2 linked regions of the Yarrowia lipolytica genome follow. The protein of the gene in region 1 purifies or fractionates together with the protein of each later gene. This does not show direct contact. Links are inferred from orthologs where the notes say so. Each region holds a gene or a part of one and is shown on either strand. Other genes may lie near its edges.

Evidence for each region.
Region 2: the proteins of YALI1_B30146g (region 1) and YALI1_E08271g purify together in Saccharomyces cerevisiae (affinity purification with western blotting, with the first as the bait; 3 studies listed by BioGRID). This does not show direct contact. The link is inferred for Yarrowia lipolytica from reciprocal best matches to the Saccharomyces cerevisiae genes PBP1 and KOG1.

What each region holds. Positions count from the first base shown.
Region 1 is NC_090771.1:3,012,018-3,016,698, forward strand, and holds YALI1_B30146g (uncharacterized protein), read right to left. Parts: upstream 2,653-4,681; coding exon 583-2,652; downstream 1-582. Other genes in the region: YALI1_B30123g (uncharacterized protein), read right to left, coding at 1-329; YALI1_B30162g (uncharacterized protein), read right to left, coding at 3,522-4,199; YALI1_B30163g (uncharacterized protein), read left to right, coding at 4,322-4,338, 4,404-4,605. UniProt on the Saccharomyces cerevisiae protein: Involved in pre-mRNA polyadenylation. May act to repress the ability of PAB1 to negatively regulate polyadenylation. Negative regulator of poly(A) nuclease (PAN) activity.
Region 2 is NC_090774.1:825,102-831,648, reverse strand, and holds YALI1_E08271g (uncharacterized protein), read right to left. Parts: upstream 4,485-6,547; coding exon 555-4,484; downstream 1-554. Other genes in the region: YALI1_E08334g (uncharacterized protein), read left to right, coding at 1-301; YALI1_E08253g (uncharacterized protein), read left to right, coding at 6,364-6,547. UniProt on the Saccharomyces cerevisiae protein: Component of TORC1, which regulates multiple cellular processes to control cell growth in response to environmental signals. Nutrient limitation and environmental stress signals cause inactivation of TORC1.

The sequences.
Region 1 (4,681 bases):
ACCACCTCCTCGAAGTCGGTATCCAAATCGAATTTCTGCATGGCCCAGTGTGTGTAAAAGCGAAGCACCTCCTGGAAGATTTGTGCACGAAGCGCATAGACCCGTGAACCAAACCATCGTTGCTCCTCCTTCTCTCCATCTTTCATGGCACTCACCGAACCTATAGTCACCTTTCGTCCTCCACCCAGGTCTCCTTCGTCTTGATTGTCGTATTCATACTCGTCTTGGCGCTGATGACCGTATCTGCAGAAGGTACGACCAGCAGCCGACCGCCACAAGTCCGAGGGACAATTGTCGATGCCACAGACGGGACCCTTTTCCCAATTCATAGTGGTGTGTATGTGTAGCTTTCACTTCATATGAAGAAATGTAAGTACAGTAGGTTGGTGGACGCATCTAGCATGCACGCTTCTCAAGCCTACTTGTACACACTGAAGGCGAACAAGGGGAGCATATAAACACAGTGGAAGCATTTCTGGAAGAAATTCTGGGCATACAGAGCCTGCTATTCTGTTCAGCATTCAAATACCACTAGTTTTGTGTAATCATATATCGACTCATTTTTCTTTATTTCACTACATACTAACCCTGGTATCGCATGTAGCCCTGAGGGGGCTGTCCAGGAGGCATGGGAACTCGGTAACCAGGAGGTCCAAAAGGTTGCTGCACAAATTGGGGGCCATACTGATACATCATGGGCGGTACTCCCTGAGGCATCTGGTAGAACGGCATCATCACGGCTCCGCCCCGCTGGGGAGACATGGCGTTGTGAAGGAAGGGGCGCTGCATGGTCAGTTGCTCTAAGGGAGGGAAAAGAACAGAGGAGTCTGCTGCCGCTTCCACGGTGTGCCAGGTCGGGTGGGTCTCAAATGCTCGAGGGAAGGGGGTGTTTTCGGCCTTGGGTTTCTTGAAGGGGTTGAACAAGGTGCTGAGAGGCGCCCGGTCCGTCTTTGGCGTAGAAGAAAAGAAAGCTGGAGAGCTGGGCTCGGGAGCGGCTGCTGTCGCCAGCTGGGCGTTGGTGTCCTTGGGAGTGAAGGGCTTGAATTCGGGCGCCTTGAAGTTCATCTTGAACTTGGGTTTTGATGGCGACGACTTAGCCACGGGTTCAGGCTTGTTGTCAGCAGCTGTTCCACCATTCTTGTCAGCGGCAGCTGGTGAAGACGACTTTTCGGAGCTCTTGTCGGCCTCCCGGCTCATCTGGATGGACGAGAGCTTGGAGGACAGTGAGTCGAACATGGGCGAAGCCACTCGGTCCAGATGTGCATTGGCCGCCTCGGGGGAAGTGGTCTCGGAAACGTCTCGAGACTTGTCCTTGGCCAGGATGGGACGCAAGTCCTCGGGAACAGGGGTATTGATCTTGTAATCCTGTGAGAACTTGCGCAGGTCGTTGAGCCGGGCGGTATCATGGTGAGTTTTGGCAGCCTCCTTCTGCGACACCATTCGGTTTCGCTCTAAGTCAATGAACTTTTGGTATCGGGACGCCAGCTCCTTCTCGAATCCGGGTTTCTTGGAGGCCGAGGGAGCGGCTGTTGCAGAGGGGTCGTTGAGAGGCAGTCCGGGGATTCGGTTGCGCTTGGGCACTGCAGCCGAGTCCACCAGTTTCTGCTCCAGTCTCGACATGATGTCCGGCTGGGAAGATGTGGGGTTTGGCTTCCTGAGTCCTCCGGCAGAAATGATGGCCGGGTCATGGGGCAGCTCGGCTCGCTGAGAAGGAGGAACATAGGTCTTAGTTCGGTCCACTCCCGAGTACTTGTCTTCCTCGTCCATGCCCGAGTCATCCACCGTGTCTCCTCGCTCCTCTCGCTGATGCGCGTTTCCTCCAGTCTGGCCCTCAATCTCGTCTGCCAATCGCTGGGCCCGTCGCATCTTGGCCTGGTAGTCGGGACCTTCCGTGTTGATACGGGTGGTGTAGAGGTGTTCATCGTAGGTGGAGGGCACTCCAAATCGGTCGGCGTTGACTGCAAACTGGTCCCAGGAGCCCGTGCCCGATTCCTCGAGTGTCAGAGCAGAGGTGGCGGAGTCGGCATCCGGAGTCCATCGCTCCAATTCTCGCTCAGCCACTGCCCGCCGGCCACTGATGTCTGTGTCGGTTCGGAACTTGCGCTGGTCGACCTGTAAGGGCGCGGATAGAGCCACAGCCACGTCGACAATGTCTTCGGGCTGGAAAACCAGCTGCTTGGCCCCCGAGTCAGCAAACCGCATGCTGACTCCCAAGTCGCCCTCAGTGCAGGCTCCCTCCAGCAAGCCGTGGATAGAGTCGCCGGAGGCGGTGGTAACGGTAACGTGTTCACCCACGGACTTGGCTAGCAAAAACAGCAGTCGGTCGTGCATGTGGCGAGCGTGAGTGGGGCTGGGCTCAGGTCGCTTCCACTTGTTGGCCGTCTTCTTATCGCCCCGGTCTCGGTCGGACCGGTCCAAGCGATCGGAGCGGTCAGAGCGGTCCCCTCCCACGGACTTGCGCTGGCGGCTTCCGCTTTGGTTCTTCTTGATCTCTGCCATCTCGTATGGCTGCACACGCCGATGCTTCCTTAGAGTGGTGATGTGGAAGATTGGAAACTCAAATGCGCCCCCCTCGCTGGGACTATTTACTGTACTACGTACGTGATGTTGATGTGACGCATGCAGTGGGGCAACACACAACAGTGCACACATGAAACGAGGTTCAATTTTATGCGAAATATATATATGGGCCGTAACGGGGGCCCCTCAATTACAACTACACAGCGGGAACACCCACCTGAGGTCATATTATTCGATTCCCGTGAACCTAGCCCGAATCTACAAGTAGTCGCTTTTTGGAGTGTGAAATACAGACACAGACTACATACGTATTGCACATACTGTACTTGTACGTACAGTACTGTAGCTGTACGAGTACCGCTAATGTGGTCTCAATTCTGATACAAGTCCACGAGTTTTTCCTGCGTTAGGCAAGAAATATGGGCACACACCTTTTTGCACGGAATATACAGGCTTAATCCGCTCTTAGTTTGGCAAGCACAAAGACCCCAGAACCCTGACCTTACCTATCCCACAGATCCTTAATTTAATCAACCGTTGTCAATACAGTAGCTATCATCATGTCTACTGTATACACTCTCAAGGGATAAGGAACGCGGGAGTTTCACACAGCCAACGCAACATAAGAGTTCATATCATTCCATTATATATCTCGCATACATTCTGCGTGGCAGGTGGTTCCAATTGACCTCAAAAGAACGAGTTTCTAAGACCAATGGACCAGATGAAGGCTACATTATTGGGGCTGGCACACTACCAGTCACGTGCCCATGACTATTTGTACAGTCCATACAGATCGGTAGGTCTGATGTCACTCATCGGGTATGTTCGTCTACATTGCAGCATGAAGTAGTATTGTATAGCAATTAGTTTGATAACATTTCTAATAAATAATTCAATAAATAATTTCTCTACAAATACCGGATGTACTGTGTGAGTACTTGTACTGTAGCTACAGTACGTTGGTGGGCAAGGATGTGTTCACTGGAACTCGCAGTCCTTCACAAGAATTCATCCACCTTCGCAGACACTTCTAGGACTCTCGAATGGTCTAAAATATCAACAATTTTGGTAAGATCTTGATCCAATGGCTCCAGCACTTCCTTATCGATATCTCTCTCACAGTATCGATAGCTGATAGCTGCGTTTTCCTCAGCCACATTCTCCGCACTGCCTTGTAAAAGTGCATGGAGGTTCCCCCTTCGTTCCTCAATCTGGTTGTCCAATTGTAGACTCTTTTGAGCCAGTTTCTGGTGCTGTTCAATAGTTCTGGCCAGCTCGTTTGTCCGGCGACGCGTCACTTCCTGCAGTGCTTCAATCTGCTGTGCCAGCTTGGCTCCGCTGTTTTCAAGCTTTTCCATCTGAGTGTATTGATGTGAAGCGTCGAAATTATTGCCGAGCGACTTCGGCACGGGGAACCGGTCGAGACGTCTCGAAAGACGTCGTTGCAAGTGTCCCAGGTCCTCTGATATCCGCACCTTCTTAGGTTCGCTGTGAGCTCTTGCCAGTATGGGGAAAGTTGCTTCTTCGAGAATAGTTGCAACCTGGAGCCGTTGATCGGTCTCCAGAGGTCTGTTCAGTGCGCTCCTTCGCACCGTTTTTCGCTTCTTCGTCAATTTCGGCTTCATTATCGCGTTCAGTGTGGGTGTCAATGTTAGACACGCACGTCTCATTTTCATTTAGCTTTGGCATCAAGGTTCACTAAGGGCAGGCTCCCGCACATCACCACGCTACAATACAGTAAGTTGGACGTCGAACATCAGAACACACACATCACGCAAAACAACAGACACATCACAAAATGGCCGACATCCCAAGGTGAGTATCTGCTACCACTGCATTGGGTGGCATTGACTACTTGGCTGTCGCAACAACTAACACAGATCCGTTCTCAACAAGCTTGTCTTCTTCACAGCATGCATGATCCTCTTACCGTTGACCTGTTTCTTCACCGCCCAAATGTTCACTGACAATACTCTCATTTCCGGCGGTCTGGCTGCCTTTGTGGCCAACGTTGTTCTCATTGGCTACGTCATCGTGGCCTTTCTGGAGGATGTGCCGGTCGACGAGAAGAAGGAGCAGTAAATGAGGGGGAAGAAATAGGTGACAAAACTGTGGGTTTAGACGGGCGACCTGATTGATTGGATTGATATAATCCATC
Region 2 (6,547 bases), on another chromosome or scaffold:
TAAGTACCCTCCTCGTCTCATTCTTCGAGTCACCACCGAGTACAGATACAAGATGTACTTGGATAAGGAACGCCAGCAGATTGCTTCTGTCGAGAGAGATGAAAGCCTGAAGCTTCCTGAGAACCTCGATTACATGTCCATGGCGGGTCTCAAAATCGAGTATCGAACCGTTCTCGATAAAGTTCGTCCAGCCACTCTCGGACAAGCTAAGCGAATCGAGGGCATCTCTAACAGTGTGTGTTTTTACTTGTTGAAGTATGTTCACAAGAACAAGCATCTGGGTGGTAAAAACGACGCGTAAAATTAGGTCTGAACCAGGCCGTATGTATATAGAGCAAGATATTTATGTGTATACCAGTATGAACCCGTGTACTTGGATTGGGTAAGTTCAAGATGAGTCAGATACTGTAGTACATAGTGCATACTGTAGGTGTAGAGGTGGTCGAAGAGTATCGTACACTTATGGTATACGCTGCAGTTGTACAATATATTGAAACCGGAACTATGCAGTTGACCTAAGGTACAATTAAAATGCATTAAATAGCCAAAACTAACTAGAAATCACTCTTGAGAAAGCCCGAACACGATCTCAACATCACAGTGCCGTCATTCACATTGTTAGATGCCATCACCAGCCGATGAGGATGAAACGACAAAGCGTTAACCGAGGTTACCCGGTTGGGAAGGGTCATATAACCAGGGTGGTTCTTGTTTACCGAGGTCATGTGACCATCAAAGTCCCACGTTCGCACCAACTGAGAGCCCGTAACCAACACAGGTGCATGTTCATGCACGTCCATGGCCTTCATGCCGTTGGTGTGTGCAATCCAAGACCGCAGAGGAGTGTCTGTTCGGATATCCCATGTACTGATGACTCCGTCTGCCGAACCAGATACCAGCTCTCGGTGTCCTCCTCGTTGCATGCACACGTTGAGCACCTTGTCAGAGTGTCTGATACCTCGAGATAGCTTCCAGATTTTGACCATGGCGTCTCGAGAATCGACTCGTCGATCAAACAGACGCAGAGCCCCGTCCGCGAAACCAGCCACAAACATGTGACCAGCAACCTGGTCGGAGGTGAGGGCAGTCACAGGGGCAGAAGACCGAGCAGGAATGGAAGCCATGCACATCTCTCGGGGAGCATCCCACACCTTAACCACTCGTGTGGGACCTCCAACCAACAGTGTTCCTCGAGACTGCTGCCAATCTACAGCTACGGGAGAAGAGGCCTGCAGACCGACTCCCGAAAGAGCTCTCCAAGCAGACACTAACTGCACATCCTGACGCGACTCGTAGTGCCTGTAGATTCGCACACATCCCTCGGAGGAGGCTGTGAGGAGCATGGGAACGTCGTCTTCGTTGAGATACTTGACGTCGGTGATTCTGGTTCCTGCAGGATTGGCGTTGCAGAACCGCGACAGACGCTTGTTTTCGGCCCAGTTCCAGATAGAAACACCGTCTCGGTCGTCAGCTACTGCCAGATGTGGCTCAAACTGCGCAAAAACGAGTTTCTGAGGCTGCGTCTTGTTGCTGAGAACACCTAGAGAGTGATCCCACTTGCCCTTGACAGCTTCGTCTCGCTGAAGCACCGACTCGGAGATAATTCTCTCGTTGCGGGTCTTTCGCCACAGTCTCTCAGTGTACCGCTGTGAACCAGTACAGTCGGCCTCCGCAGGCACCATTTGAGGCTCTTGGAAGAACTCCGTGGACCAAGCAAAAAACCCGGACTTCAGAGGGAGTTGAGCACGTGATCCTGCAGCTCGCGATGTGTAACGAGGTGTCACGGGGATGGTTCCCGTGCCAAAAGGAACAGTTGTAACAGATGAGTCCGTTTTCTGGGCTGCTGTTCCACTGGGCTCATTGTCTCCAAATAGATACTTCGAGACAGACCTCTTGAGCGAGTTGAGAGGAGAAGAAGCTGCCCTGTCGGCAGCAATGGCATTTTGAATGGTGGAAGATGCAGTAGGCGTTAGAGGAGCCATCGCAGGAGATTGGGGAGCAGGACTACCAGCAGCATGATGATGTGACTCTGACGAAGGAATCAGGTTGGAAACGCTAGGCAGCTGTTTCTTGGACTCGGCTCCCTGCAGCATGGTTCGCTTGAGCTGCTCCATTCGAGGTCCCAGAGGCGACTGGCCCATCTCAAACAAGACGTGATCAACCACGTCACGTGCAAAGTCACGCACCTCGGTGAACGGGTCCTCTGCAAATGTCAGAACGGCCTCCCACACGGCAGCAAACACGGTACCGGTGGCAGGATTGGACGAGGTGTTGAGGTTCATCTGGGAGACAGCAGCAGCTTCTTGCTCGAGAGTAGCAAACGCAGCAACCAGAATCTGACCTTGGTACTGGACGACGAAACGCGAAAAGAATACGACTGCTTCTCTTCGAACAATACCACTGGCGTCGTCAGTCAGCTTGAGGACAGCGTTAGCAAGCTCGCATTCCACGTCCTTGAAATCCTGGGAAATGTGATCAGCGTCTCCATTGCCAAGGAATGCAGTCAAGGCAACAGTACACGCTGTTCGGACCTCAGGAACAGGATCCTCAAGCAGCACAATGAGGCTCTGGGGCACTCTCTCCTTCATTCCAAGCCACTTGCCCTCTAGGTAGTCGAACCACAGTTGGGAGATGCATAAACAGGACCACTGTCGAAGCAGTGGAGAGTCAGGCTCAGCTGCGTAAACCACGAGCACCCGGAGAAGATCAGCACCCATTGAGACCCGCTGACCCTGCTTGAAACCATGGCAGAATAGTGCGATGATGAAAGAACACATGGCTCTGTGGTCATGGACGTTCACGTTGTTAACGGCAAATCCTTCAAAGGGGAGAAGAATTTGGATGAAGTAGGCGTAGCCATTGTCCTTGAGCAGCTCGTGCTGAATGGATTGATGGTCCACGCTCATTATTCGAGCCCAGATGAAAACAAGCACGGGTTTTAGCTCCTTAGCGGGGGACTGCAACAGCTTTAACACGTAGGGGAAGATACCGATAGAGAGCGCCGAGTAGACAGCCCAGGGTCCAAGATCGAGGAACTTGGAGAGCAAGATCAGCGCTCGTAGTCGGTGGACCTGTGACAACAGCACTTGTAAAACAACAGGAAGCTGAACAGGTGGGTTATCACTTCGAGCATTGTATCGCAGCCACACCTCAAAGGCTGTCAGTTGTTCCTCAAAGAACTGCGAGTGGCGATACTCCTGTCCAGCAGCCAAAGCAGGCAACTGAGTCAGACACTGATCGACTGCTAGATCCCACGCATCCCACATAGGGTGAGAATGGGTGGGAGGAAGAGGAGGGTCCGAGACTGGGTGGCATGAGTTGACCCGCATAATTCTGTCTGCCAGCAGAAAGTTTCGGAACAACGCTGCGACCATCAGGTCCTGTCGAAACAGCTTTTTGAACAGGTCGCGAGGCAACAAAGTCCAGGCTATCGTATCGGTTATGGCAGTGAAAATCCAATTAAGTTCGCCAAGGGGGGTTCTTCGGTCGGTAATTCTTCCTGGGATTTGCAGATCCTTGATCTTCTTCCCGTAAGCCAAGGGAGACTTCATGACGAACCATCGCACAGCAATTTCAATTGGGGACGTCAGGCATGACGTGAACAGATCTGCCGGAAGGTCTGGGTGCATGGGCAGAGTCTCGTCGGCCCGGCAGGCTGCAAGCTGGATGCAATCGAGGTAGGCATTTCCGTTTCCTGAAGCTGCACTGGTCACACCATTGGGTGCTTGTGCATCAGCGTCCTCCTTGATACGCTGCTGAACAAAGCGCTTGAAGTTAGAGACAATGTTGCCGGCACTATGGCAATCCCACACGTAGATGCATGGCGAGCCCAGCCACGACTGCAGGTCGTACAAAGACACAGGAATGTATTGTGTGTAGCCTCTGTTGAAGACCCAGATTTCGCCCGAAGCTGTAGGTCGAGGCACTCCGTGGCCATTGTAATGAAACAGAATTCGCTCCTCCTTAGCACCTCGTCGCAGTCCTATGCAGAATCGTTTAATGTCCTCCACATTGGGGTCCAGCGACTGCTTATACCGGGTTCGCATTGACAGCACCTCGTACTGCATCTGTAGCTGTTTTCCAATCTGCTCCGTGGCCTTCTTGGAGTCTGAGATGGTCTGTGGGTCCACCCAGGCCTCCAGTCGCGAGCAGGGGTCGGTTTTGATCACATCTGGAGGATCCACTCCCAGGTTGAGACACACCACAATGGCTGCAGACACTGTTCTCTGTCGGTCTTTCATGCGCCATTCGGGCGGGCCGTCGGCAGAAGACCGTTTCGGATTGCCCGCAGTGTCGTGGCGTTTGTCGTCCAGGTAGATGTAAAAGATTTCGGCCAACATGGACATGTAGGCGTCACTGGCGTAGTCGTCGTCAAATCCATGGCGCACATAGGTTTTGGAAGCGGTGGACTTGACCGTCTCATCCTCTTCCATCCGGCGTTGTGGCGAATGCACCGATTGCACCGATGTCACACTTCCGTTCATGTCAGAGATGTGAGGTGCAAGTATGGGGTGACTGGTGTGATGTGCGGTGATGTAGTGGTGGAGGTGTGACTTTGAGTTTGAGAGGTGGTTTAGAGGAGACTTGAGGACTGGTGAGTTGAGACTGTTGTAGGTGATTTAGACAACAGTAAAGATCGTTTTTTGTGGTAGTGGGACATGGTGTATATTTTTAACCGCCTTTCCCGTCTAAAAATGTATGTGTACGCCTACTTGGGTACTCCCATCTATCGCTGTCACGAGACACTATATGAGTGCGCTGCATACCATTAGGAGTGAACACTTTAGATTGCGATATGGGGTAATGTTCTACTATTGGTGGAGTGAGTGAGATGTCGACAAACTGAGGCGTGAATAAAATGAACAAAAAAAACCGATTTGTGGATGGTTAGACTCACATGACCACCTTCGTCGTGGGACTGTCCTTTGCCTCGATACATGATGTCACTAGATGTACTGTGTATTGTACAAATACCGGTGCATTGGCCGCTTCTACACCGTCGATATCTCCAGTGCCGTATGGGACATGCATGATACGAGTGGGTCGATAGCGGACAACATTTAAGTAATATTTACTGAAGATATGTAAATCAGGGGAAGTCAGAACAGCCCAAATCGGGCTTGCTGAGCTGACCCTGGAGTATGATGTCATTTCGCTTTCTTGATCATTACCCAGACATCCTATCGTACCATGGCGGCTTCAGTCGCGGTCGAAGTGTATTCGGAGGTTCAACTTGAGGAGTACATACTTACGATAGTCGTACTTGACGAGAAATTGTAGCGCGTGCACGGTTTCATACTGTACATACCGTACGTCGTATAGTATGTACTGTACTGTACCTACAGGTGACTATCTCCACAGGCCGAAAATAGTCCAATGACTAATGACGTCCTTGGGTCAACATTGGTGATATCTTGATGTCGAAAAAATTATGATTCAGGTGACCATGGCCTTGGATCTTCGGATCTCATACATACTGTCACAAGGTCTTCATTCAACCAACTTCTATCCAGAACTGTCTGAGTACTCGTTATATCTCATCGCCATCTTCATATATATCTCTTGTCCTCCATTATCCCTCCATGTATAGTGCCCTTGTGTTACTCTAAGCCATGTCCAACCGACTCCTAACAAGACTTGATTCTTGGTTAATCATCCAACACCACCCAAAACCAAGCCTATGCCGACACCTGTGAATATCGTACGTACAGTACATGGCCGCACTTGACACCCCGAATCATTCCGAGTCATCCGCATGCAGAACTGTTCTCCAGTCCGCACTAAACTGCCCTTTACATCCTCGCTCCCAACGAGCTGGAGTAACTTTCCCTTTGGGTCCATGGAGTAACTTTTCCCGCTGACAGATATCGTACATGCACATACTATAGTTAAAGCGAACTGTTGGGAGAGACGCACGGTTCGGAGATACGCCATGGACAGATGGGTGCACCACACTGCCAGTATAGAGAGCCACATTATCGTCGTAGCTATAACGGAAGCGGTTTTTCGACATGCGCGCCCCACTTATATAACATTGTGCGACCCACACCACCGCGACTTGCTCCCAAACCAGTCCCCGTCCCACGTGACTGCACATCGCCATCACCACTGCACGGGACAGATAGAGTTAGAAGTTTCAGCACCAACATTTGGCAAGAGTCCGCGGTGGATCATTCTACTTGAACTAGACCTGTTACAGCAGAGGAGTCACAAGTGCGGTAGAGTCACAAGCGACACGAACGACACAAGACGATAGACACGGAAGGTGACGGTTGTAAACAGCACCCCAAGGACATTACATCGTTACACTCAACCAAGACATTATAACCGCAACACAACACTTCTCACTCTCACCACCCCAAAATGCCACCTCTGGTACACAAAATCCACCAGCATCGTCCAGACGAGGCTTTTGTTCCTCCAACCAGCCCGTTGACACCTCCCGTGCCCTCGGTGACGGTAGGCCAAAAAATCCTCTCTGCATGCACCGGATCAATCATCACGTCTCTAATAGTCACACCATTCGATGTGGTGCGTGTGCGACTCC